Linked DNA regions of Medicago truncatula. The protein of the gene in region 1 interacts with the protein of each later gene in a pairwise test. Links are inferred from orthologs where the notes say so. Each region holds a gene or a part of one and is shown in the gene's direction. Other genes may lie near its edges.

The links.
Region 2: the proteins of E3 ubiquitin-protein ligase COP1 (region 1) and transcription factor LAF1 interact in binary tests that used the Arabidopsis thaliana proteins (3 or more experiments, as listed by UniProt). The link is inferred for Medicago truncatula from reciprocal best matches to the Arabidopsis thaliana genes COP1 and LAF1.
Region 3: the proteins of E3 ubiquitin-protein ligase COP1 (region 1) and COP1-interactive protein 1 interact in binary tests that used the Arabidopsis thaliana proteins (3 or more experiments, as listed by UniProt). The link is inferred for Medicago truncatula from reciprocal best matches to the Arabidopsis thaliana genes COP1 and CIP1.
Region 4: the proteins of E3 ubiquitin-protein ligase COP1 (region 1) and constitutive photomorphogenesis protein 10 interact in binary tests that used the Arabidopsis thaliana proteins (3 or more experiments, as listed by UniProt). The link is inferred for Medicago truncatula from reciprocal best matches to the Arabidopsis thaliana genes COP1 and FUS9.

What each region holds. Positions count from the first base shown.
Region 1 is NC_053046.1:37,990,063-37,997,717, forward strand, and holds the start of E3 ubiquitin-protein ligase COP1, read left to right. Parts: upstream 1-4,654; 5' UTR 4,655-4,778; coding exon 4,779-5,096; intron 5,097-5,985; coding exon 5,986-6,063; intron 6,064-7,655. UniProt on the Arabidopsis thaliana protein: E3 ubiquitin-protein ligase that acts as a repressor of photomorphogenesis and as an activator of etiolation in darkness.
Region 2 is NC_053047.1:21,466,532-21,473,990, forward strand, and holds the start of transcription factor LAF1, read left to right. Parts: upstream 1-4,436; 5' UTR 4,437-4,642; coding exon 4,643-4,781; intron 4,782-5,231; exon of another isoform or gene 5,232-5,309; coding exon of another isoform or gene 5,310-5,361; intron 5,362-5,712; coding exon 5,713-5,842; intron 5,843-7,001; coding exon 7,002-7,459. UniProt on the Arabidopsis thaliana protein: Transcription factor that promotes photomorphogenesis in the light by participating in the transmission of phytochrome A (phyA) signals to downstream responses. Probably acts by activating expression of light-induced genes.
Region 3 is NC_053049.1:45,925,523-45,932,816, forward strand, and holds the start of COP1-interactive protein 1, read left to right. Parts: upstream 1-4,282; 5' UTR 4,283-4,445; intron 4,446-4,534; 5' UTR 4,535-4,617; intron 4,618-5,574; 5' UTR 5,575-5,650; intron 5,651-7,294. UniProt on the Arabidopsis thaliana protein: Positive regulator of abscisic acid (ABA)-mediated signaling pathways involved in abiotic stress responses (e.g. osmotic stress) and leading to various plant adaptation (e.g. stomata closure).
Region 4 is NC_053049.1:39,599,831-39,606,781, reverse strand, and holds the start of constitutive photomorphogenesis protein 10, read left to right. Parts: upstream 1-3,947; 5' UTR 3,948-4,137; coding exon 4,138-4,324; intron 4,325-4,402; coding exon 4,403-4,476; intron 4,477-6,892; coding exon 6,893-6,951. Other genes in the region: uncharacterized protein, read left to right, coding at 1,290-1,568, 1,988-2,071. UniProt on the Arabidopsis thaliana protein: Component of light signal transduction machinery. Involved in repression of photomorphogenesis in darkness by participating in the CDD complex, a complex probably required to regulate the activity of ubiquitin conjugating enzymes (E2s).

The sequences.
Region 1 (7,655 bases):
ATGGCAATCCTTTTTTTTTTCTTTCTCAAATGCTTTTTATCTCTTATTACCGTCTTATCATAGAATCCCATAAAATTAAATTAAATAATACAAACATGTGATTAAAAAACACATTATCCCTCGGCTCTAACTTATCTGTTGCAGGTGTTTGGTGGTCTTGACGAAATGAGAATTCTTTTTGTTTCTCAAATGCTTTTATCTTTTATTACCGTCTTATCATGGAAGCTCGTAATATAACTCTTATCTTTATCTCTTGCATTTCTAGTTCTCTACGAGACAAGAACATAGACGGATCAAATGGAATTCCTTCAATTCCTCTTGCACCATTCTTAATGTTGATTGCATCATGTCTTGGCAACCGTGTCAAAGTTGGATTTTATGGTTTGCTTCATCATCCTTCCGTGATATGGATCTCTAGTTTCTCGGGATTTCTTTCAGAAATTTAATATTCTTCATGCTTAGCTCCATGCTATTCATCAAAGACTTTGTTGACTAAGCAATTGGATTACCATGACATTATTTGTTTCATTGATTCTCTTCATTCCATCGATATACTCCATGATCAAACGCCAAGGCTTCACAAGTATACTAAGATCTTCTTCACTAATATATATTGACATGTTTGCATCACTCATATTCTCTAAGAAAATAGTTGTGTAAACATCCTTAACTTGAAGCTTCTTCTAGCATTGATCTTATGGTCCATCTCTTCCATCCAACCGGCATCTCAGACCTCCTCTTTACAGACTCTATGGAAACTTAGTTATGTAGAGCTAAATTTCTCTCTTTTTTTTTTCTTTTTTTTCTTTTTCTTTCTACTTCTTTCTCTTTAGCTTTGTAACAAAAAAACATTAAATTAGAATTTTAAAAAAAGAACTAAAAAACCTAATCCAAGTACACCTAACGTAAGCATAAACATCAGACAAGAAATTGCCCATTATACACACATTTTTACGGAGTCATCTTAGAATTTTCACAAAGCTAACCACCTATTTCAGATCCATTGCATTTACTATTTTTTTAGGGACATCCATTGCATTTACTCGATTCTTTTGAAAACTTTTGAGTTTTCTCACCCTTTTCCCTTTTTCTATAGTACTAGGTAAATCTTATTTTGTCAACATCAAATGAAAAATATTTAAACATACACAAATGAAAAAATAATAATAAATAAATAATATGACTAATACTTTTATTATTTGTATGTGTGTTTAAATATCTTTTATTTATACTTGTTAAAAAAATATTTATACTTGTGATCAAATACTCCATCCGTTTTAAAATATAAGAAATTTTACATACATCGTTAATTGAATGAACTTAAAAAATAAAATTTATTTATATTTTACATCGTTAATTGAATGAATCTAAAAAGTAAAATTTACTTATATTTTAAAACGGAGGAAGTAAGATTTGCTCCAAGTAGAATACTCCCAAACTAAAAAGTTGACATTTAAGTGGAAAGCAGAATCAACAACTTGGTCAAAGTCAAAGCATTATTTAATTGATCCCAGTGAAAGGGAAATGCTACAGTTTCATGGAAAGTGGCTCCACTCATGTCTCAAAGACTCATATCAATGGAGTTATGACAAACCACAAAAATTGTTTGGAACAAATGCTATCAATGAGCAATGTGATAGTGGGTTTAAGAAATTAATCTTTAAGTTTTTTATGGTCCTGATTTTGTGTTCAAAGGCGGATTTGGGCATAGAAATTGTTTGCTTTTGCTGTGTGTGTTTATATATATATATATATATATATATATATATATATATATATATATATATATATATATATATATATATTATTTTATTAATTTTATTATTTACTTAACTTTTATTTAATTTTAATCTCTTGTTTAAAAAAAAAATAAAATTTTAATCTCTATTTTACAAATTTTGTATAAAAAAATTGTGTTTTTACCCCCTTTACCCAATAGGTAATAAACAATGTAGTCTCTATGAAAGCTACATGGAGACTAAAATTCATTTTAAACTTATATCATAACTAATTTGAGAAACTTGATTTCACTTCCTTTAAAAAAGAGAAACTTGATATCATTCGAATTTTTATTTATAAAATTCACTTTAATGATAAACATATATAGATATCAGTACAATAGTAATATAATATTAAGTGATGATTGTTTTCTTTCTTTATGAATGTGAAATTTTTATTTTATTTTTATAAAAACATTAGACATCAAAACTAAAATTTTATTTTAACAAAACTCAATATGAAGACCTGAAGCTGACTTTTCTTTTCCATTTTGTGTTGGAAATGATATTTAAAAACAGTGTAATATTTACTGTAATGTGAAAATCAAATTATATTGTGAAAATCTTTAAGCCATTTCATTTGAAATTTATATATTTTACATCACTTTTTTAGAGGACCCGCTCTTTTTTTAAAGGCACCATGTGAAAAATCATACTCCTGTCCACGCTATACAATTAAGTAAAAAACAAGTAAATTGAATATAATATTTTTTATGTATTTTTTTGTCAAAATATTTTTTTATCTATTAGAGAGGGTTTTTGTTTTAGTCATTTTTAAGTATAGTAAAGAATATAAATGAAGAGAGACATTTTTTAACACAAATAACTTACATTTATAAATGAAAAAAAAAATTATGGGCCCTCTTATCCACCGAAGTAAGAATATAAATGAAGAGAGACATTTTTTAACACAAATAACTTACATTTTATAAATGAAAAAACCATCTCCTGTCAAAAAAAAAATTATAAATGAAAAAAAAAAACATTTATGGGCCCTCTTATCCACCGAAGTGTTCCCTTAACAGCCCAGTTTCTGCATGTAGCCTTCGCTCGTATGAAAATTGCTTTTAAACACCTTGGATTACTCACAAACACCTAAAACTTTCAAAAATATCATCACTAGGAGTTACGAACCGTTCACCTGTGAACGGTAGCCAGGGATTGTTCGAGATTTTGTCAATGGTAGTTAGGAACCGTTTTCAATATACCTTTGCAGGTAAATTATGTTATGCCTGGATGAAGTTATTGATATGCTTAAAATAGCTCATGAAATATGCTTTTTAAGCATTCCCATCAACACAATCGTCAATCACCATCACTTTTAAAAACATAACCGATCTTCTGATTATAATCACCGTACAAATTCGATATCATAAGATTAAAATTGAAATTCAATGTTATGATTTACAATTGCTATGTTCTAATCGTAATTTTCAATAGAAGTATTTTCGAAAGTTTAAAGTCATTACAAACAATCTAAGGTGCGTATTTTTCCCTCGAATAGAATGAGAGAAAAACCAAACAAGCTATCAACCTTAGGAAAAACCCAATCACATTGTCGAAGAGATACTCCTCTTATCTTAGATAACATCATCTTTGGGGACATATTAAATTGGTACGGTCGGAGTGAGGTAAACAACTAGCATCACTTATGTATGTGGTCACAAGTGTTTTTTTATGTTAAAAAAAAAGTGTTCTTATGTTGTAAATTTTTAGTAGTTACACCTTTTATTTTGTAATTTATTTTAAAGTTGTAATTATTTTATATTATTGTTTTTACTAAAATTTTTTAGACACGTTTCTTTTGTTCGGATTATTTTATGGTTTGCAACAGTTGAAGCAGCAAGTCTACATTGTAGGTATGGAGGTTAGAAAGACACAATCACTATTTTCCTTATACTCTATTTTGTTTTATTGAGAGTCAATTTACTTGTGCTAATATTTCTCTTTGATTTACTACTTAATGATAATTATATTTCATTTTTTCAACATGTGGTACTCCATATGGTACGAAATCTGTATATGAGACATGTATCAATATATTCATCAATTTGTTATGCATGAGAAAACACATGGTTGAATTTAAAAAATGGATATCAACATGGAAGCCGTTAAGTGCAATGACATAAGCTAAGGTAATTTGGTGGGGAAATTCTTAAGAGTTAAGAACGTGTTTGTTTAAATGAAAGCATGAGAGATTCCAATGGTGGATGGGATAAGAGGTAGAAGAACCATACTTCTCATTCATCGCTTCCCATATTTATTCCTATCTAATCAAACAACCCATTCTGGTTTCAAATTTCCTTCTATGAACACATGATTACCTTAAGTAGAAACTCAATAATTTTAGATTAGTAAGAATGCAATGTAAGTAGATATGTATTATAGGAGACGATCTCATTTTAGATTACCTTAAGGAGAGGATCTTGACCTGTATTCTAGAGAGTATTGCACTTCGCATCTTGATGATGTAAAATCTTCTCATTGACCAAATTTCTTTGTTAGATTCATACCACAGTCCACACATACATATCTAAAAGTGCTTGCTCAACATTCTATTGTCATGCATTATACCATGTGAAGTTATGTATGTTCATCTACTCCTATACAATAATGACAACCAGATGTCATTCCAAAACATGAATTAAATCACGTCATCACGTAAACTTAGCTCAGTTGATAAAGACAATATATACTATATATAATGTAAGAGGTTTTAACCCCGACCACCACAAAATACACTAACTTCTATTGATTAATTTTTACTTACATTTTAGGACGGAGAGAAGACATATTTTCTCCATCATTAATTAACAATAATTCATAAGAGGCCAGCATTTTGTGATGTAGCTTATAGCATCAAATCAATCACGTGGAAATATCTCACCCTCACAAACATCACATTCCTGGACCCACTTTCTTCCACTCTAAACCCGCTTCTCTTCAAATCACCACCACACGCATCAAAACCATTTCATCTCAAAAACCTCACATCACACCATGGAAGAACACTCCGTCGGACCACTCGTTCCCGCCGTCGTCAAACCCGAACCATCCAAAAACCTCTCCACCACCGTAACCGTCACCGGCGACATCGCCGGTGGAGACAATTTCCCGATCGCAACTATGACGGAATTAGATAAAGACTTTCTATGTCCGATTTGTATGCAGATTATCAAAGACGCGTTTCTTACATCTTGTGGTCATAGCTTTTGTTACATGTGCATTATTACTCATCTTCGGAATAAAAGTGATTGTCCTTGCTGTGGTCATTACCTTACCAATAGTAATTTGTTTCCCAATTTCTTACTCGATAAGGTTCGCAATCGTAATCACAATCGCAATTCGTGTTCATGTGTTCTTCGCTATGAATTTAGTAACTGCTAGTGTTTAATTGATAATTTGCGTTTTGAATTGTGATGTTTCGGTTTTGGAATTGCGTTTAGATTAAGATTTAGAAACTACTTGAGGCTTGTTTGGATTGACTTATTTGAGCTTATCTAATGACATAAACACTTGTGAGACTGCTTGGAAAAACTTTTGAAACAGTTTACTACACGTTCATAAGCTGTTTTCAGTTTATTTTTGTAAGTTTTCCAATATAGCAAATGAAAACAGCTTATAGCTTATGTGAAAATAATTTAACCTTATTTTATTTTTTGTTGCAGAAATAACTTATACATATGCACTTATTATGATAATCACTTATACTATAAGCTACAAGTTAAGTTGTTTTCCAAACATATGAATGAATTCGGTTTCACAATGCTTGTTGTTTAATTGCTAGAGATTAATTGATATTTTGCATTTTGAATTGTGATATTTCGGTTTTGGAATTGTGTTTGAGATTAGATTTATGCCTGTTTGGATTGACTTATCTGAGCTTCTCTACTGGTATTAGTTTTATGAGAATGTTTTGGAGAACTTATAAAAACAACTTTCTGACAATTTTCATAAGCTTTTTTCGGCTTATTTTAGTAAGTTCTCCATATAGCTTATGGAAATAGCATATAGAAAAACAATTTAACTTTATTTTATCTTTTGCTAATGTAAGCTTATACATAAGCAGTTATAATGATAAGTGCTTGTGCTATAAGTTGCAAATAAACTGTTTACCCAAATAGAGCCTAACACCCAGGAAATTGCTTGTTTTATGAATGAATTCGGTTTCTAGCTCATTGTTAACGGTTTCTGTACCAATTTGTAGCTACTAAAAAAGACGTCGGATCGTCAAATATCGAAGACTGCTTCCCCCGTGGAGCATTTCCGGCAGGCGATACAAAAGGTTGGTTGTACTCTTGCTACCTGTATTGGTTTGCAGTTTGTTTTGTGGTGACTTATACCTTTGTTGTTGTTGATCTTGTTTTACTTAATAATTCATTTTTGCTTCTAGTTTTATTTCAAACAATGAATATTTCGTTTTGAGTACAATGTGGAATACATGACCTATGTAACATCTGCATTTCGGAGTCCAGTGTATGACACATGTCTGTATCCAACACTGATACAACATGTATGTGGTTACACTGTATCAATTCCATTTTTCAAATTATTACCGGCGTCTATGTGTCGGTATCATTGTCGTATCCGGTATCCGTGTTAGTGCTTCACTGTACTTGACATGATATGTATGGGTTTAACAGGGGTGGTTAAACAAAACTGGATTAACTTTTAACTGTCGTAATTCCTTTGTTTACCATACTAATTGTACAACAGTGAGAGGTTTTTGTTGCAATAGTAGGCTGTTTTTCTTCTTCTGTTTTTTGATAAAGCAATAGCAGGCCGTTGATCGCGCAGTTCACGTTCCACTAAATTATGAATATAATTCTACAAGAAGTTTTGATGTTCCAGAAAAGATAACGAAAGAGAATGATACTAATAGTTCCCCTGTTCTCGGCCTCTAATCTAAAGTTTAAGGGAGGAATGCTGTATTGCCTGCAGTGCCAGTTTCTTGTAAGAGGAAATATAATCTGATTCATTAATTTACGTCATTCATTTGTTGAGATGATTAAATAAAGGCTTAATAGCAGTTTTAGACCCTTAACTTTTCCAAAGTTGCAATTTTGGCCCCCTAAGAAAAAAAAACTACAAAACCACCCCCTAAGTTTTGCATCTGTGGCAGTTTTGGCCCCCAAGACCAATTTGACTCGGTCTACACTGACGTGGCACTCTAAGTGAGGTGCCACATGTTATTTTTATTTTTATTACAAAAAATTGGCTTTGGGGGGCCAAAACTGCTACAGTTGCAAAACTTAGGGGGCGGTTTTGCAGTTTTTTTTCTTAGGGGACCAAAATCGCAACTTTGAGAAAGTTAGGGGGCTAAAACTGCTATTAAGCCTTAATTAAAACAGTAGGCGTTAGATCAAAGTAGATGGTTAAGAATAATACTATTTTAAATTGCAAGTCACTGTTTCCCATGCTACTTTTTTCTCCTCCTCTCCTGCCTTTTCTATCAACCGACCGTCCGTGCCAATAAATAGGAAAACAATTTATTTTGAAGCCTAATGTGAGAGGAGAACAAGGGCCATCATTCTCTGTTCTAATGGAAAAGTGCACCTCATAAACAATAATACCACAATTTGCATCATTTTTCCTTTACCCTCTTTCATGTTTGACAGAGACAGTACAGAACCAAACCTAAAGGAAAAAAATTAAAAACAAAAAAACAAAAAAAAACAATGTATAGTGGATTTTGTTATGGGGCGAGTGGTGAGTTCTTGGTGGCTGTGCTCGTGATTGTGAATCTGGTTGGGTTATTGGAGCAGAGTCGTGGGTCTACTATAGTCTATAGCCTTGATTTGTGAATGTAACCAGACCCACCTTCACCCAACCACAATAAGTAGAACACCAGTGCAAGACCCACCATTTTGACAACTC
Region 2 (7,459 bases), on another chromosome or scaffold:
GACTCTTTAGACGTGCAAATCATCTCAATGTCTCTTTCACACCTCTATATAAAGGAGTGAAGACTTGAAGATTGTAGATAGAGATATACAAGTTAAAAAGCGCCAAAACTCTATCAATTTGATTCTACAAAGCACACTGAATTTCTGCACTGATTTGATACATCTTAGAAATTCAAAAGTCTAGAGTCTTTAACGTATTGTATTGTGAACACCACTGATTGTATATCAAGTGTTCAAGTCAAACTTATTTCATAGTATTTTTGTTTGATTAGAAGCCTCTTGCCTGCGTGCTTGAGCATTAGAAGACTCTTGCTTAGTACTTGAGCATTGGAAGACTCTTGCGTGTGTGCTTGAGCATTTTTGAGAAGTCTCATACTTAGAGAGTATTGAGCATTTGTAATCTTTGTGATTATAGTGAAATCTCCTTGGAAGTGCAAGGGGGACTGGACTACTTCCGATTTGTGGAAGGAACCAGGATAACTGCTTGTGTCTTGCTTTTCTTTTCTCTGCTTTGATCTTTTCCGCTGCATATCTGATTCTGATCATTTCATCAGAAGCATTCACAAACTGCTTCTGAAGTTTTATCAGAAGAAGTATTTTTTAAGAGAGAAAAAGAAAACACAATTCAAACCCCCCCCCCCCCCCCCCCCCCCCTTCTTGTGTTTTTATCACCTTCATCGGTGTACTTTTTTTTAATGAATGTTTCAGTTTTACTTAATATGGTTCTTAAGAATACCTTCAGACACAATTTTCAAAACGAGACCGGTCGTCGACTCGATAAAGTCACTAGACCACTCGATTGTTGGTTCAACTACTAGATCATTGGTTGAACCGTATGACTACCGGATTAAACCGGATAACTGGAATGTATAATCCGGTCTCTATAAAAAAGGTGTATTTCTATTAAACCGAGTTAGATCAATCTCAAAAGGGTGGAGAAAGGGTGGAGACGTACGCTGGGGAAAGGGTGGAGTTATATCTGGAGTATAAAAAATATTCAATCGATTATGGGGGAACATGAGGAATTATTATTGAAATTCAATGCCAGCACAACTTTATCTATATTGATTCGTTTTACTTTAAATCAAACCACTTCAATACTTTTATAAACAACATGATTAAAAAATATGTCAATACAAACTTAAATTAACTAAGAACGGTTTGTGTGGATCCATATTTTATTTGTTTCATAAACCCGAGATACTTACTTACCACTGTGTTGGAGAAATTACCAGGTTTACTACTTTGTCATTTCCCCATATCCCAATAGTGGTATAAGAGTCTTGTTCGATGAAGGGTTTCACCGACTCTTTGTTGGATGAAAAAAGTTGTTGCTTAAGGGAGAGCATAATGAATGCAATGGCTCACACCTGAGGGGAAAAGTGAGGGTTAAATAATATATAAGTGAGATGATCAATAAATCCAAATACCTTAAGATTTTAAATTAAGATATATTATCTAACTCACTTGTATGTTTCCTCTTAATCTAATGGTGGATGATCTTTCAGACTCACTTCATGTCCCAACATTTAAGAAGGTTACTTCTATATCAATTTTAGCATTACAGGAATTCCTATCCAATTATTGGATATTAGGTGGTTATTGGAGCTGGCATTTACATCATTTGCATACATCATCCAATGACTAGAGATGAAACATGGTTTTCTTAACTTTATTAACCTCGTAATATAACTTTGGTGTCTTACAAAAGAATAGAGGAATATGATGACATCTTTATACCCATACTTTTGTCTCTTTCTTTTGTTTCATTTCCTATAGCTAGTTGTTCATAGTTATTCTGCTAATCATATTCAATTCAATGTATCAACCTAATTTGTTCTTTTTTTTTTTTTTCGTTTGTAATGTCTTGCCAAAGCTGATTCTAACTGTTTTAGATCTTATCCAATCCAATTCTTCTAATGGACAAGTAGTGATTTTTTTTTTTAATAATATGATTTTTGAATCGTGCATTTCGAGGATTTTTTTTACAGATGCATTACAACATATAAAATATGAATATTTTATTTTGAGCGTGAATTGCATTAAAATAAACATTTTTAGACAACTGTCGGTATGTTTGTGTATGGTAATATTCATAGGATACATAGTTTTTTATAAAAGAAAAAAAGTTTGACATAAAATAAATATGAGATGATAAAATTTATAATGTAGAGGATGTACTTTTATTAATTGCTATTGGAGCTAGAGAATGTGTCGGCAAATGTTGACTTTGAGTAATGTGCAGGCAAAATGTCTACTCCATGGCTTAGAGGGTACAAAAATTGGCACCATTTAGATGAGTTTATTTAAGTTTTATTTTTTATATAAAATAAAAAAAATTCATTAAAGTAGACACAGATGAATTTAATTAAGTTGCAGGTGAGTTTGAAGATTCTTCTCATATATGTTTAACAAATGCTTATAGCATAAGATAAGATTTTTATTAGGTAAGAAGAAAACCTGGATATTAAACTACAAGGTGAAGGTATATAATATAGTTATCTTATTATCACTTAAAATAGTTTAGTGTGGCCTTTATTAAACTGCCACGACTCACAAGTCTTTTTTAAAAAATTATTAAAATGGGCCAGTTTATGTAACAACAAAAATACCTATAATAAACAATGCTGCTTTTGGGGTTTTCAAAACTTTGATAATAGTTATTTTTGTGAATTATTTGTGCTGAAACAAAAAGAAAGACAAACAGTGATCATAAACCTTTGGTACAAATAAGTCCAACAATTTCGAAGTTGGTAGCCATCCAGCAAGGTAGAACACGATTTCAACCAATAGGACATGAACGTTTTTTTGTTTTTGTTTTATTGTTTTTTTAAATTGTCACTTCAAACAAGGTAAATCATATGCTTGATTTATATTTAGTTTATCGAATAATGAATAATCTAATTGACCATTTCACACACAAAAATTTACAAGTTTAAGAGATATACTTTTACTAAATTACTCTTATCTAAAACCAAATTTGCCGCCATCGTGTAGCTTAAATCACGGGTGGTGTGACGAGGGTCTCTTTCCTCAGCACCACCACTCCTTTCCGACATGAGGTTGCTCTCTTTCCTTTGGTGGCAGTAAATCCGGAGGTTTAACCCTCTTTCGTCGCCTTTCCTTTTGGCCCGTCGTCATTTACAGGGACGTGGAGGTTTTCTCTGTCTCAAATTCGTTTGGCAGGGTGGTTTGTGGTTCTCTTTGATTTGAGGCAGATTTGGTCATTGCAATCAGATTCTCTCATTTTTTCAAACTTTTTCAACCCGCACCAGTGGTGTAGGAGCGCGCTTCTGTCAACGTTAATTAACGTTGGTTCGTATGTTGCTTTTTTTATTTCGTTTGGTTGGACCGCTGGTGTTGTTTTGTGGTTGTTGACATTTGTGTGGTTTTCGTGGGTATAAGAACGTTTGGTATGTGTTGTTGCTTTCGTTCTTGATCAGAGACCGGATGTTATAGACTTGTGGCCTATTTTTTTTATGTGATTTGGTTTCAAAAAACCGAAAGGGTCTGGTTCTGTCAAACCTGTAAGAGTCTGGTTACTAACGTATCGTACACATCTCTCGATCCGAGTTCTTATGCGTCTATCTGAAACCGGCAGTGTTTGGTGGCTGGACTTCATTGACACTCTCTGATATTTCTAGATCTGTTGATATCTGCAGGTTTAAAGTCGTCTTGTTGGTGCTTGAATTTTGATATGGAGTTGGTGGTCCATCCATTCGCCGAACTTAAACCTTAAATGTACTTTGCAAATATTCAATTTTCATATTATTTGTAACCTGATTTTGCGCTTGTGCGGGTTTGCTGAGTTTCTCTTGTACGCGGGTTTGTTGAGTTGCTCTTGTGGTTAGTAAATTTTTGTTAGGATAGGTTATGGTTGATCACTATGTCTAATTTATATTTTTGTATCCCCGTTTAGATTGTACCTAAGTTAGGTCTAATGTCCCTCCCGTCTCCATATCTCTTTCTTTTTTAATTTAATTCTCCTTTTTTACTATTAAAGAACTATACTCGTATTTTTGCTATAGAAAAATATAGTCGCATTTATCATTACCTTAAAAATAAAAGTAAAATACATACTATTTTTAAAATGATACAAATAGTATTAATTAGATATTACATTTAAAATAATTAATTAATATTGCGTTCAAAACCAAAAGAGTGGTTCACACAGTATATAAGACAAAGGGAGTATACATTTATTTGTGCATGAGATGTCAGCTTAGTATAATAACTAATAAGAGCTTGGGTTTGTAACAATAATAAATATTGTTCAAACTCTATGCTTGAAAAATGATTATTTTTATTCTTTAAAATAAATGATTATTTTTATTTATTGTCCTTTCAATTAATAATAATAACTTTTTCATTCTCAGTTTTTTATTTAAAATAATATATTTATTTTTGTTTCAACTCATTTCTGGAATAAGTTATGCAAATATATTGCACAATCATAAGTATTTATTCCATTATATATACCAATATGCTTGTGCACTGTTTATAACCCAAATATCCTATCTCCTTTCTCTACCTATATTTGATCTCTCTATAGTTCTTACCCGTTTTTTGGGAACTTAAGCTTTCAATTAAACCTATTTAAACTGAAATTTCTTCAGAAAAGAGAAGAAGAAAAAAAACCAAAATGGGATTCCAGCTAGCAGAAAAAGTACAAAAATCAAAATACAGAAAGGGATTATGGTCACCTGAAGAAGATAACAAGCTTAGTAATTATATAATGAAGCATGGTCATAGCTGCTGGAGCTCTGTCCCCATTAAAGCAGGTGCGTTTCTTTTTATTTTTTCTTAAATTTATAACTCCTTATCAATTATATTTGTAGCATGTTCCTCATATCTTCAATGAATTCATAACTTCATTTGTTTTCTTCAAGTGAAGTTTCTCTTCATTTTACTTGATAAAATGTTCCTAGAATTTATTTGACCTCAAATTAATAAGTCATCAAACATAAGGTATGCTTCACTTAAGTTGGTACATTGAATAATTAAAAAAATATATATTTTGATGAATCGGGGTAATTTACGTCTATGAAAAAAAAAATAACATTTTCTTCATTTTTATTCTTAGAATCAGTTATCATTTTCATCTCAATAACATTATACTTCTTCTTCATCTTCCTTCAACATGTGATCTTCCCCTCATTCGTTCCATAATCGAATCCTACTTGTCTTTAAGGGTAAATTACCTTCAATTCATCAAAGGAAAATGTAAGCCTCATCCATAGTGCTTTTTCTTACAATCAGTACCATTTTCATGTAGAGAACATCAAACTTCCTCATCTCTTTCATTCAACATGTCATCTTTATCTTCTTCAGTTCAGAATAAAATCTTACTTATCATTAAAGGTAAAATATCACCAATTCATCGAGAGGTAATGTAGGTTATCAATTTTTATGCCAATTACAAACATGCTACAAAAAATTGATTGTGATTAACCTACCATCATTTATTACAAATGTGATAGAATTTGGTGTGTTTGTATTTATTTTAATTGATGCTACTAATAGTTCTACATTTGATAAGATAAGATAAGATCTAAAAATATGATTATATAGATAGTTAAGTTATAACCAATACATCTTCTGAGAGTGTATGAGAAGAGCTCCTATTTATAAACACATTTTCAGACTATTTTAGTCCAATATTAAGACTCTTAACCGATGTTGAGGTGCTGACATAGTACATTGAAAATCCAGGCTTGCAAAGGAATGGAAAGAGTTGCAGACTAAGGTGGATTAACTACCTGAGGCCTGGATTAAAGAGAGGTATGCTCAGCAAACATGAGGAAGATAAAATCATGACCCTTCACCAAATGTTAGGCAACAAGTAAGGATGAACAACCTCACTTTTACTTTTATAAAATTTTAATGCTATAAAATTATTCTAGAAGTTATTTGAAGTAAAAGTATTAATTTTATAATTTTATTTATGAAATAGTTATTATGCATTGTCCCTTGTTATTGTTATTATTATTAATGATTATAATAATTATAATTGTGACTACAATTTAATATTTAAGCCAAGGGGTTGTTAGTGTAAGTAGTGCAAATGATGCAAGTTAAAGAAAATACTTTTGTCTCGTTTAATTGTTTTGATGGTTTTACATTAAATAATGTAATTGGATGTATGCCAGCTAATTCCTACCATAAATTAATAAATGGAAAAAATTGATAGGAGTCAAACCATGACTTAGCATTCCCATTTTTTTAACATAATATACAAAGAAAAGACATATGGTCTAATATTCCTTAATTTCTTAAATCAAATCAAGTACAGCTCAATATATTTTTTTTAAACTTTTCCATCACATACAATGATTAATTTACAGTCAATTAAATATTATACATTTCAATATACTTCCCAATTCTTTTTTGTCAAAACAAAAAAATATATACTTCCCTATTCTTTCTTCATAATCATAATTTTGTTACGAAATGAATTTTTTAAGACTCGTCAAAGGTGAGCTTACACCCTAAAGTTTATATGATGTAATATGATTTCATCTTTGTTTTAAATGGAAGTACACAAAATTTGATGGTAAAATTGCTCTTTTATTTTTTTTATTTGTGTGTAAACTTGATAACATAAAATCACAGGTCAGTTCCCAAATTTGGAATAGAAAGTCAACACTACTTTTACAATCAATTTGTTGAGAGTTGAAAATGTGCTATTTTTGGGTGACACTTTTAACATGCTACATGTTTGACATCTTTATTTAATTTCTTTCAACTCTTCAAAAACAAAGAAAAAAAAGAATAACGACTAGTATTATATTACCAAAAAATAAAATAAAATAAAATAAAATAACAACTAGTTTGTTTTAATATAAACGTGGATAATTTGTATAAAAGTAAATGAAGAAATACCAACTATCTTTATATAATTGTAGAAAAATCTGGTCAATGTATATTATGTGAATAATACGCATAATTAAATTAGAACGTAATTTTAGACTTATCAAAACAACTTAACTTGTATTGGTCAGGTGGTCTCAGATTGCACAACAATTGCCGGGAAGGACCGACAACGAGATTAAAAATTATTGGCATTCATATCTGAAAAAGAAAGAAGTCAAAAGTAAGGATATTGAATCTCATACTCAAATTCAATATGCTAGTTCAAGCTCAGATACAATGAACTCCTTACTCTCAACTCAAAAATATGCAATTCAAGATCCAAAATATGTGTTACCAGAAAACATTAACAAATCAACAGCTACAACACACTCTGATCAATCTATTTCAAAGAATTATAACACTGCCAATGAAGTTTGTCACAGTTCATTACCAAAACTTTTATTTTCTGAGTGGCTTTCACTAGATCAAGTAAATGGTTGCAACTCTCTAAATTCAGATGATTCTTTGGTCTTGAAAAATGGCTATGATCAAAATTTAATTTTTCAAGAAAATGTTATTCAAATGCCAGAAGGGCAGTTTGGTGAAG
Region 3 (7,294 bases), on another chromosome or scaffold:
CACTTTTAAGTATTTAATTACACAAGTTTTAATTTTTTTTTTTATTATATTTGGTTTTTTTAGGGTTACTAGTGTTGCATTTTCCTTCCTAAAATATATCAAAATATATATGCTAAAATTACAGTGTGGGGAAATATAATCCAGGAGAGACATCCAATTTTTTAAGCTCGAGGTTAGATTACCTCCCACATTAATGTTTCAGAAAATCATCTTCTTAAAAGAGTCTCATTTCGGACAAAATTGGGTTTGAACATGTGTTCATAAGTGATGACAATCCTCGTTTCACAATCTAGTTTTGTGGGATTATGTTAAGATCAATTATAATTTCTAAAATAGTATCAGAACCTATTAAAATTAAAATGTTTTGTAAAACTAGCTTTTTAAGTAATTAATAAATATGAAATGACATAAAAGTACATGTATGTTTAATTTATATAAGTTATATGTATAAACATTTTTTCACCTAAAAAAATATATAAACATTTTTAACTAAATTATAAATATTTTTCCTCTAGAAAATTATAAATATGAAATATAAACTTCATTGAGATATTTTTTTAACTAAATTTGCTCAACTTCATAATTATATCTTTCAATTTTTTTTTGTAAAATTGTATGTTTTATTTTTTACTTTTGAAAAAAATAAATAAAAATATTTGTATGTTTTATTTAATATGGTAAATATACGAAAAGAAAAAGAAAAAGATGCTATATAAGTAATAGGAATTTAACAGAAACCGTTTCAAACATAAAATCAATTAAAAAAAAAGACTTAATTGCACTTTTGAACTCCTATCTTTTTAAAAGTTGCAGTTATGGACCCCTAACTAATTTAAATACAAAACAACCCCCTATGTTTTGATTCTTTGGCAATTTTGGACCCCCAGTCCATTGTTGACTCGGTCAACGCTGACGTGGCACCCTAAGTGAGGTGCCACGTGTCAATTTTTTTTTTTTTGCCTTGGGGTCCAAAACTGTCAAAGAATTAAAACATAGAGGGCTGTTTTGTATTTAAATTAATTAGGGATCCATAACCGCAACTTTTGAAAAGATAGGGGGGTCCAAAAGTGCAATTAAGTTAAAAAAAAAAAAAAAAAAAAGCATTGAGGTAGTGCAGCGGTTACTGTCTCAAGAATAATAACGTGGGTAGCTTGTTTTTAACGTGGCCAATTTTTTTTTGTTTATAAAAAATAATAAAATAATGTTAAAGGTTAAAAATGAAAGAAAATGTAAAAAGTTAAAAATTAAAAACTCAAAAACTACTTACATTAGCTTCTTAAAAACGTTATAATTAAGCTAATAAAAAAAGTTTTTTACCAAACACATCGAATGCTATTAAAATAAGGTTATAAGTTTGTCCAACAAGTTATAAGCTAACTTATTTGTGTTACCAAATACAACCTTAATATTTATTTACTAATTTTATTCCCATGCTTGGATTCTATTCACATGCTTGAATCTGCTTCTTCCGGTCTCAAATGTAAGCAACTTTTTACTTTTTAAGTTCATTCAATAAACAATATATGTGGTCTATATTATAGATTATGTACATCATTTATTGAATGAACCTAAGAAAATAAAAGTAAAAAATTAGTTACATTTGAGAAAGGAGGGAGCATATGTTGGTGTTCGCTGACAATAGTTAAACTTACTATGTCAAGGACCAAAAAGAAAAGACATTAACGAAAACAAAAACAAAAACATTATGAAGCTGTAAAAGGTGACAATAATTGGTCACGTGATTTGTAATTGCCGGCACGAGGAAACTGCCTCGTTACAGAACAATGAGAGCATGAGCATGAAAAAGGTCCAGTTAGTGATTACGTGGAGTAGCTGGAGACAGATCAAACACAACATGGTAAAGGGGATCTTCGCGGCATCGTATTCTGCACCTTTCTGGCAATTTTTGTTTGTTCCTAAGTAATAATTTTGCTGTTTTGATTCTATTATTGACATTGTTACTTCCGAACCGTGATTCTATTGGGTTTAATTGTACTTGAATTATAGAGTTTTGGATTGTATTTGAATTACTTATATGTTAATTTGAATTATTTATTTGCTTTAGATATAAGGTTAGGTATTTGTGAGTTATGACTTTTGAATTGTAACAAATCGTGTTTATATTTTTGAATGATAGTAATAATATATACTTATCTTTTTCATGATACCGACAATATACTCCATCCGTTTCAAAATAAATGTCGTTTTAGCCAATTGCATAAAAAATTAATGAATAAAATGAAATAATCATTAGACATAATACTTTTATTAAATTGTCTTTGCTTTATAAGAAAAAGACAAATTTAAAGTTGGATTGAAAATTGTGTGAGAGAAAAGTTGAAAGAAAAAAAATTAAAGTTGTATTAGAAATGTAAAGTGACATTCATTTTGAACAATGTTTTTTGCTAAAGTGACACTCATTTTGAAAGAGAGGGAATATCAAATATGATATAAATTCTTATCATTTTTAATAACACCAACAATATAATATTTTAATAGACAAGTTTGTTTAAGACCACATATTCCATTTCTATATAATATATGGTACAAAAGATTATTGAGAGACTAATAGATTAATGATATTATTCACTAGAAAAAATATCAATGTTAGTATTATGTTTGATATTTTAGGGAAACTAGCTTTACATACAATATTATATTTAGGGAATTTTTTTTTTTGAATCAGCAATTTTTTTTTATTAAAAATCAGGTTTTTGCACAAGACGAACATAGACCGATGTTACAGAAGGTGTTAAAAGTTCCACATCGAATAGGTGATGACCTGACAATGTGTTTATAAGTGGGGACAATCCTCACCTCATAAGCCGGTTTTGTGGGTTGTGTTAGGCCCAACCACGATTTCTAAGATGGTATCAGAGCCTCTTCAAGATCCATTGGGCCACCTGCTATCAGGTTTCCGCTATCGAGCCACCCACCATTTATGTCCATGAACCAAGCCCAAGAGTGCTGGTCGTGAGGGGGTGTGTTAAGAGTCCCAATGTGGGGATAAGTGGGGGCAACCCTCACCTCACAAGCCGAATTTGTGGGGGGTGTGTTAGGGCGAACCACGATTTCTAAGAGAAGGTACAAACTAAAGATGTCGTATATAGGCGGAACACCCAAAAATAAAACCCAATAAAGACACTCATAAGGACAACCCCCACCAAAATAAACATCACCCCCTAAAACTGACTCATATACTTACTGACCACTGAAAAAACGACATTCATAACCCTCATCACCACTACTCACCTCAAAAGAACACCCTTGTAAAAGAGGAACCAGTCCTCATCACCAAAAGTGAGTCACATCTGAAGAACTCCTTTTCCAAATATCAATCCGCTTCCACCACCGCGCAACCTCTAGTCCATCGAAATAACACCAAAAAAGTCCAAAACTAAACTTGAACCAAAGAAGTGACTCTCGATCTCGAATCAAAAGCGATCGACCCACTTATCTTCAGAACCAAATCAGATTATAGGGAAATTAATTCTCCTTTTGGTTCAAAAACTTAAATACCTAAACTTGTAAAGGACTAGGGGTAGTATATAGGCGAGTAACTTGTAAAGGTGAATTTGTAGTCTAAAGACTAGGGAGAATAGGAGAGAAACTCTAGTTGAAAAATTAACTCAGTACATAAACGTCTAGGATCTAAATCTAAACTATTATAATTTTCATTGGTAGTTGATTATAGAGAAAATAAAAAAGAGAGCAAATTGAATGCATTTTACATTTAATTTTCTTTTGGAAAAGATGATTTTTTGAAAAAAGATAATTAAATATGATAAAAGTTGTTTGTTTTGCTTATAATTTAGGACAAAGAAAATAAGTTTTTTTTTGCTTATAATTTAGGACGGAGGGAGTATTGTTTATGAAATAAAAAGAGTAACTTTATCTTTAAAGTTGTATGATTATGACTATAATAGGTGTTTGACTGAAATTAAACTTATATACAACTATGAGGTTCTAGGTTTAAACTTAAATTACGACGTCCGGCTTTGCAATTTTGATATTTATAAGTTGAATTAGAATTTGTTAGACTTTTTTATGTGATGCAAATTACATTGATCTGGAGTGGCTAGAAATTTCAAAATAATAAGGATGATGACACGTCGGCATGTCCCCGCCCAAGTAAAATGAATGGCATTATGGGTAATAAATAGAGAAGAGAGGGGGCAAACATCGGAATAAACAATCCAAAGATTCCATTCATGAAATTTGAAGATGAAAAGTGCTGGCGTCTCTTTAGAGCGCTCTAATCCAAACAAAACAAAGCCACTTTTCAATTCCATTATTATTATTTTACAAAAACAAATTATTAATATTTTGTAAACTTAAACTATAGTCTCTGTATCTGTCTCTCTTGCATTAACTCAACACCTCTTCCTAACTCTCTTTCTCCAAGTTTCTTTTCTTCATCATCTTCTTTTTCAACTCTCACAGAGGTAACAGTGAATTCCGTTTTTCAAATTTTTCATTTCCTTCTTCTTGCGTTTTCACTTCAAATTCAATTCAATTATTGATTCTCTTATAGTTGAAGACTTGAAGAAGCTCTTTGGTTTCAGCTTTTGGATTCGATCAGATCAACTTAATCTACTTGAAATTCAAATCACTCACGTAAGCTTTTATTCAATTCTCTAAGTTTCTACTTTGTTTATTAATTAATTATTAATGTTTCTTTGTATACTCCGCAGAAATTGGATATTGTTTTGATTTGAACTTAGTTAATCCTGTATCTTGATCCTTAATCTGAATTATTTATTGTGCTATTAATTAATCTTGTAAAAGATGCTGATCTTTGATGATTATGCTCTTTACGTTACTTTGGAATCTAAGAAATAAAAATCTAATAAGCCTTTTTTTTCGCTAAAGTAATAATGATATTGGAATGGTGATATGTTACCAGATGAGCTTTTAACGGATAAGTGATAGCACTACCTGGTTGAATTTGTTTTGTTTGATAAAATCAGTGTTTGAAATTTGAATGAACTTATAAAAAAAATATTTTTCAACTAATTTTTAATTTTTTCAATCAAGATAAAAAAAAAAAGATAAGCTATAAGTTTTTTTTTTTTGGTCAGGTGCCTAGAATTAACCTTTTTCAAGATGAATAATTGGATGAGATGTATGGGGTTCGAACCCCGGCTCCTGCATATAACAATGCATGTCCTGCCAATTGAGCTATGCTCACGGGGACGATATGCTAGAAGCTAATTCAAGTAAAGATATGCTATAAGCTTTAATTTACTTGAATTAGCTTATAAAAAATCTATTAAAAATAACTTATAATTTGGTGAAAAAGAGGTTATCAAAGAGTTTTTATCAGTCATATGAACTTAAAAATTATAAGAATATCAACTATAAACTAGCTTATTGTGCTTGCTAAACAGGCGTTAGATTAGCTTAGTCAATTGGTAAGAAAACCATACATCCTATTCAGTATGAGTATATTTTAGTATTTCTATTTACCTTTGGTATTTTTATCATCATCAATAACATAGGTTTGAAGCTCAATTCTGTTTGTTGCATTGAATTTGCTGTGTCTTTTATAATTTTTTTTCCTTTTCTTTGTAGGTTGCTGCAATATTGTTGTTAGAGCTTAACAGATTCAGAAAAGAGGATATAAGGAAAACTTGAAGCAATATTTAAGGTACTTATTCCAATTTACCAAAATATTGATAATTGTTATAAGAACATTGAGCATATATATTAGGGATCATGTATGTAAGATTGCAAGCATGTTTTTTCCATTTTTTTTTCTTTCTTGGGTAGTAGTATATTACAAATTTGTTTTTTAATTTTTAAAATTAAATAATAAAAAACTTAATTCTTGGAAGTTGTAGTCGTGGCGGTAGACTGTAGCTGAGTTGTAGTCTTGGAACTTAGTGGCTCTGTTTCTTTCTTTTATTTTTGGTTTTAAATTGATAATCTAATTGCATTTTGATTATTTTCCTTAAAAAAAAATTGCATTTTGATAATTCCGTTCTCAGTAATAGAATCTTGTTAAATCCGTAATAGCTTAAAATTTGGACCAGTGGTGCGTTAATTTAGAGTTTGGGACCACATTTTGGTTTAGTAACAGTAATTATGGCAACCGCATTTAGTATCTTTTTGACACCATTCACCTTTCTTTTTGTCCTTTATTTTTGTAGTTTATGGCCCCAGTTAATCACATATAATCCGTAACTAAACCCAATTTCCATCATATGAAACATTAGTAGTGCCTTGTTCGAATGAACCCCAAATAATGATACAATCTTTCCTATATTTCAACGTTTTTGTTTTCCCTGCAACATGTGTTTGCGTTAAGTATTTTATTAAATTTTTTAAAAAAACTCAGCATGCACAAGTGGAAGATAGCAAACAATACAAAAAGGATACGTGCAAATACACACCAATCAAACCAAACAATCATGAACACAACCTAAAAGCCACACTGCCAAACTGTGCAGGAATTGGCACAAATAAGTAGCAAAAGAAGAACTATCCCCTTCGAAGCCTATATAATTGATAACTATGGAATACATTAAGTATCAAGGATAAAATTCTGCAATCTTGCAAAATCCCAAGCCTCACAGCCTTCTATCCGTTGCTATTCACATCTAAACCATTTTGCAAGCCAAGTATAACACCTATACTGCAACCAGCCAATAGAGGCAATCAACCTCTCACAACCAGTGTACTTCACTTTAAGAAACCAAACAGGAGCCCAAACAACCATCCCTCCATATCTTCATTAAATTATTATTTCCCATGGTACATGTTTTCTCCACACAAGAATTACTCCTCTACTACAATCTCCCAAACCAACCTGCATAGTGAAAACTCCAATTTAGACTGAACATTATTTCAGACTAACTATCCAAATAATCAGAACCAAAATAAATCAAACAACCATAACTCTCTCAGGTTCTTAATTTCCAAAATATATCTACTAACGAAATATGGCAATCAAGTAGTTGATCCCTAAGAAACCAAACAGGAGCCCAAACAACCATCCCTCCATATCTTCATTAAATTATTATTTCCCATGGTACATGTTTTCTCCACACAAGAATTACTCCTCTACTGCAATCTCCCAAACCAACCTGCATAGTGAAAACTCCAATTTAGACTGAACATTATTTCAGACTAACTATCCAAATAATCAGAACCAAAATAAATCAAACAACCATAACTCTCTCAGGTTCTTAATTTCCAAAATATATCTACTAACGAAATATGGCAATCAAGTAGTTGATCCCTCACTTCTATCCATATAGCTGCAAACAACACCTTGACACAACCTTCCCAA
Region 4 (6,951 bases), on another chromosome or scaffold:
GAAAAGTCAAGAAACAATTTTTAACTTTTTAAGAAATGAAATGTACAATTTTCAATATAAAGTTAAAGTTTCTAGTTTCTACCTTTATTGTGCCTTAGAGGTGTTTGCGAGTGTTGAGTTTTATAAAAAAAGGGTAAGATTAAGTCTATACTTTGATATTTTAAAAAAATTAAAAGAACTACATAAATATGTATTTTTTGGTTAAAAGAACTACATAAATATATAATATCACCTTGTTTTGGTTGGATAGGTGGATGAGTGATGTCCCACTTTGTGAGACATTTCATAGCTTATACGATTTATCTGAAAATAAATTATCTACTGTGGCATAAATGTTTCATTGGGGGTGGGATGTGGGTGGGGGAAGCTTGGAAGTGGCGGAGGAAGTTTTGGGTGTAGGAGGAGGAGCTGTTAGAAGAGTGTAGACTTTTATTGTTAACAGCTATGCTGCAGGTTGATTCTGCTGATGCTTGGAGGTGGACCCCTGACATAGCCAATGGTTACACGGCTAGTGGTGCTTACCGCTTGCTCACAGATACGACGCATATCAATTACCAGATACTGCTGAGGCTTTTATGGAGGAAGGATGTGCCTTTGAAGGTTTCAGTGTTCACTTGGCGTTTGTTTCGCAATCGATTGCCTTCAAAATCGAATCTATTCCGTAGAGGCTCGATATTGTGTTAGTGGTTGCGGTCTTCATGAATTCGAATGCCATTTAATCGCATCTTGTGCTTTTTTCGGATATCTTTGGCAGCTTGTTAGGAACTGCTTTGTGTTCACTCAGCGGATCCATCCCATATTTTGGATCACTTCATTCTTCGACTTCTCTACAGGGTACGGTAAATCTAGACGCTCTTTCATGCATTTGATTTGGTTTGCTACAACTTGGGTAATTTGGAAGGAATGCTAGAATTTTCCGAGGCACTCAGGGTTCTCATATGCAACTTGTGGAGAGTGTCAAACAACTTTCCTTTATTTCATTGTTGTTGAAAGTTGGTTTGTATCTTGTGAGTGTCTTTTGTGATACACCTTGTGCTTGTACCTGAAAGATGACTCTCTGTTCAATATATCATTTTGATTTCTTTTGTTCATTTAATTTCTTTTTAAAATAATTTTAGATTGATATACAAGTTAATTATTTTATTACAAACCAAAAAAAAGTTAATTATTTTATTTAAAATAAAATTAAAGTAATCTTTGTACCAAAAAAAAACAATCTTGAAAGTTTTATAGTTGTTGACAACAGCTAAATAGGAAGGGTGAAATAGTTAGCGATTGTGATCAGGAAGATGGAGGGAGGAGGATCGTCAAATGGAAGGAAAGGGTATGCGTGGGCAGTATCTGCTGGATTGAACGCCGCTCTTGCAGCCATCTTCGCTAAGTTCACCTTTCACATCTTGATTAAGTACGGGTTCGTGGTATTCTTCAATGTAACCATGTGGTGTTGTTATGTCAACAGTCTCAAAGCTCTCTCTTCTCTTCAAGCTACTGTCACCAATTTCGCTACCAATTTTATCTCTTCTGGTTTAGCCGGTTTCTTCTTCTTTCATGAACATCTCTCTTTCCAGGTAGTTACTATTTTTTTTATTTTTTTTTTCCTTTCAATTTCAATCTTTACATATTAATTACCCTATTTGTAACTAAAAATTGAAATGGTACCAATTTCATGATTATGACCCTTAATTCTGTTTTTATATCACACTCAGTTTATTTATCCATTACGTTACATGTAACGTGTGTTCCAACTGCTTAATGTGGGATCGAGATAAACCAAGTATCATGATTTGCTATTACGGGTACATATGAGAGAGAGGATCCAATTTATAGTTTTGCTGTACTAAAAATCAGAAAAACTATTGGTTGGTTCTAAGGGAAAAATAAAATTAGGGCTCAAACAAAGTCTAAAGAATCTGTGGTTGGTTATTTGCCTTTTATGTTTTCAGTTTATTCATTCACACATTTTTTGATGCAAAAAAATGTTTCACAGTGGTTTGCAGGTGCCTCACTCATAATAGTTGGTGTAATAATACTTAGCAACTCAAGTATTGAGAAGAAGGTTAGCGCTGATTAGAAGTTGCACTTGAGTATGTTACCTTTCATGCTTGCTTGTTACCGGCCAAAGCTAGCATCCGCAACTGCGTGAACATGAACTTGTAACATCAGGAATGATATAGTTTGATCTTCTGCTGAGCAGTTCACCACTTCACCTCACATGAAACCTGCTGAACTAGTCGCTTCTTGCCTTTTGCCAAATTAACAACTCTCTTATTGTTTTATCCATTCATTTATGTGGTTCTGTGGTTTAATGTAGTTGGTTTGAGATGAATGCCAATATTTATTTACGTGGTTCTCTTATTTATTGTCTCTTTACTGTTATGATTTTATGACATTGGTCTGTTCATGTGTTCTCTTTGGTTATTTTCTCTGATTTGAATTGGACAGCTTTGGCGCATTTTTTTAGTACAACTACAAACAGCTTTGGTACATTTAGAGTAGCTTTGTTATGGGAAATTTTTCATCAAAAGTGTTTCTATTTGGCTGGAATTTGACTTATGGATTTGGAATGTAAAATACCAAGAATCAAAATGGATGCAGTAGATGTTAATCTGGTGGTTAAATCCGTTGTATTGCGGAGACTGCGTATGCCGGAGGAATTGGAGGATCCTGAAGGGGTTCTTCCCCTTGATCCTTTGTTATGGCAACAAGTTCCTTCAATCTTTGGCACTTAGTGCTGCGGAATTGGTTGTGACATAAAGGTGACGAGGTCATGGGATTTCCTTATTTCTTCTTCATTGTGGGAGCAAAGTACAAGAATGCAGAAGTAGTGGTGAGGGAACTGGGGAGGCCCATGTGGAGAGTTGAGTCTTGGTACTTATGGTTGCAACCCTGATGATCTAGGGAGGCAGAAGCGGAAAGACTTGAGTTTTATCAAAGGGTTTGTAAGATTTATTAGATAACCTTAGTTCCAAACTGTTTGATATGTAAGGAGGAAATTTCTATTGCAAAAATCTGAGATTATAAGTTGTCAAATCTGTTGGTTATATAAAATTTGGGGAGGTAAAGCCATCACAATGGAAACGCCAATATTCAAGGTCTTTTAACGAAAAAGTTCATGGGATTAATAATTTACACTGCTAGTGCATAAGTATGTGAGATTAATTTTTATGTACTAAAAGTGTGCTCCCTCCGTCCCAAATTATAAGAAAAAAAATCACAAAAAACTAAAACATAAGAATTTAGAGTATAGTTTTGTGTTTTCTTTGAAAAAAGTTTTACAGGAAGATGTAAAAACAATTTTCATTGACTATTGGTTATGGAAAAAATAAAAGAGAGAGAAAATTTAATGTAATTTTATGAGAATAAACAAAAGTTTTTCTTGGAAAAGAGATTTTTTAGAAAAACAAGATTAAATAGGATAAAAGTTTGTCTTTTTTACTTATATTTTGGGACAAAGAAAATGAGTTTTTTTTCCTTATATTTATAAATTAGTTTTTAAAGTATTCTAGAATAAAAACTACGAATTATAGCTTCAAGTACAATCAATTCTGGTGGTAGAATCAATTCTACTCGACAACAATCAAACATGTCAGAATTAAATCTACACATTCAGAATCAATTTTAATCCCTATGGAAGTAGAACAAAACATATTATTTTGAAATGTATTATTAACCTTATATCCTTCACCCTAAAACAATAAAAAAATTACGAGTCATTTAATAAAAAAACATGCCTCAAACTATAAGTTATTTTATAATATCAATAAAACATTAATGATTTTTTTTCTCTCTCTATAATACTTACTATTTACTATTGAAGACTCTGTCTTCTTTCAATTTTTAAATTTCTCTTTTAAATACTATTAATAAATAATAATTTTGTAATATTACTCGTAATTTCTCTTTCTTAAAAAAAATTAAATACATTTAAAATTGTCAAAACCGTTATGAATTTATCCCAAATATTACTACTTCCGGTGTATTCTTGTTGAAAGTGTTGATGGTGAAAAATGTCTTAGTAACAACAACTTGAATGAGTTTGATATTGATTCTTAATGAGAGAAAAACATTGATTACTGAAGAAGAATAGATGAGCTAAACGAAAATTGAATTGGGAAATAGGGTTTAGGAGGTGAAGTGATGATACCAGGTGGAGGAGGAAGAAGTTCAACATCATCATGGGCACCGACAACCTCAGTGTCTGCTTCTGGAAAGAGAATTCAAAGAGAAATGGTTGAACTCAACAACGACCCTCCTCCTCATTGTTCTGCTGGTCCCAAGGGTGATAATCTCTATCACTGGATCGCCACCATTATTGGCACCCCAGGTTCACCATCTTCACCATTCAGCTTAGGTTGTTTGGGTTCAGATTGAATTTATCATCAATTTGATTTTTTGTTTGTAGGAACACCTTACCAAGGTGGCATATTCTTCCTTGACATAATATTTCCTACTGACTATCCCTTCAAGCCTCCCCAGGTACTAATTGGTTCTTTTTCTAGAATTGCTGTTTGCTTTGGCATGTGGTGGAAGAATGTTAGCATGAAATGAAACTTTATTTTTATATAGATTTAATCTTTATACGTTGTCGGTATAAAATTATTTTACTTGTGCATCTAATAATGTGATTGAAAATATGAGTTGTCGTATTCATTAATTAACGCAACAACACATTATTGGATGCATGTGTAAAGTAACTTTACACTGTCAGTGTATAAAAATTAAAATCTTTTTATATAATGAATGCGTTAAGTTCCTTGAAGTTAATGCTTGTTACTGATTGACATAAAAGTTGTAATTCTATATACATTTAGTTTGGTAAGGCGATGGGCTTGTCTTAGGCTTATATTGTGCACCACATTGAGTAAAGCTAGAGAATGAATTGATACTTAAGCCATAGGATTCTCCCACCCAATAGGCTTGTCCTTTGGGATGGACTCTTCTCTAGAGCTCAAGTCATACAAACACTTGATAGTTTTATTGAGAGCTTGCCGTGTAGGATAGGTAAGCAAAATAGGAACTAACAGGAAAATGGCTACCTATACCAAAAGAGTCAAGAATGAATGTAATCATGGGTGGTTAGCCAGAATGCTCTCTCAACTCATGGTTAGTCTTTTGGGATGGTTTTACTCGTGGGCTCAAGTCATAATTCTTAAAGGCAAGACCAGAGTAACATCCTTCTCGGGGAAGCCAGATTAATGAAGTGAACTATTCTACAGGTATGTATCACCCCTTCTATGGATGGGGATACCAAGCATAATTCTTGGAAAATGCATAAAATTGTTTTTGTAATCCTTCTCTTTTTCATAAAGGGATCCGTGTTGTTAATCCTAGTGGTGGGGAGCAGTCGACCCCTAAACCGCTAAAGTGGGATAGTAGATAGAGGGAAAGCCTCTATTGTGAAGACTAGAAAGTAGTTTAGGAAGGCTTCACTTTGGGAAGTTTATGGTTGACATGATACCAGGGTTGAGTAGAAACACAGTAGAATTAAATGAGGAGCAGAGAACAGAGGAGAACACGGTAGTCGTCACCACTACCATAAAACCTAGTAGCCATTTCTGGAAGAAAACAAAGAAGGTAAGGGAGCAAGTGTGTCTTCGGATCTTCACAAAACGGAGGTAGGAGAAAGTGAGTTTCACTTTCGCATGGTGCAGAACGGCCGAAGCTGCTGACCAAGAATACTCAGGGAAAATGACCAAAAAGCCGAATAAATCTAGTGATCAGGGGGTGAAAGGGGCATTTAGCATCAAAGGTGGCTGTTGTGGCAGTCAAACACAATTTTCAGTCGAAATAGCTACCCTTGTATAATGCCAATGTGACATACCAGCTGTAAGTGTCGCAGCTGCGCTGCTACAATTCCATTATCACGTGTGATCACCTGCTATTGACAACATAGATAGGGATAGTGTCGTAGCTGATATTACAAGATATTTAGTCACTGGGTGGTCTGTTATTGTGTTTAACAAGTTTGAACTATTGAATCTTACATCCTCTTATTTGAGTCCATTCTCCCACTTTCGAAGCAATAAACAATATATCATTTTGTATGCATTTAACTAATATTGAGTGAAAAAAAAGGTTATTCACTGGCTTGAATGCACATATTTTTTTGCTTCTGATTTGATATAGGGAAAGTTCACTGGCTAACTGTTTTGTTCAAGTTCATGTCATTTGAAGGAGCTAACTGGGTCATTGGGAACTTTAAGTTGTATTTCAAGTAGAATTTAATAAATTGGTTACTTGTATTTGATAGAGCTGGAAATGAGAGTTTAGGTGTTGATGACGTGTCTAGTCATCCACACCGTGTACCCAAAATATGGAGAGTGTATGTTAGGAAAAATAGAAAGAAAGAAGAGAATGATGAGCTGGCAGAAAAGGGGTGTGATGCGTGACTCACTTCTGTTGTATTGGGATTGGGGTAGTGGAGGAAGGGGTCAGAAAAAGAATTCTGTTAGGAGCAGAGATTTGTGATATTCTCTGAGTCGGTGAGCATAGCTCTCAGTTGTATCAGGAAGTTTGCTTCCTTTGCTATTTTTCCTTTCTATGATTAATGAAACCCTCTCCATTTTATCTTTTCAATACTATTTGATGCTGTTACTGTGATTGATAGTGTTAGTACCTATCAGTATTTGTATAAAATGCTTGTTTTTTTTTTCCTTCTGAGAAAATTGCTGTTACCTTCCCATTATGTAAATGTTCAAGTACAGTCCCTTTATTTTCAAAGCCTATAAACTTCCTGTAACATGTCTTCTCTCAACTTTTCATAAACTTCTCTGTTCGAAGAGTTTGGTATAGGTTTAAAAAATAAAAAGGCAATATGCAGACAACAAATAATTTATGTGGAGGTAAAAGTAATTTAATTGTTGTGTATTGCCTTGTTAAATTGAACTAGCAGGTAGTCTTCAGAACTCGCATTTACCACTGCAATGTAGAACCTGATGGCCGTGTTAGTAT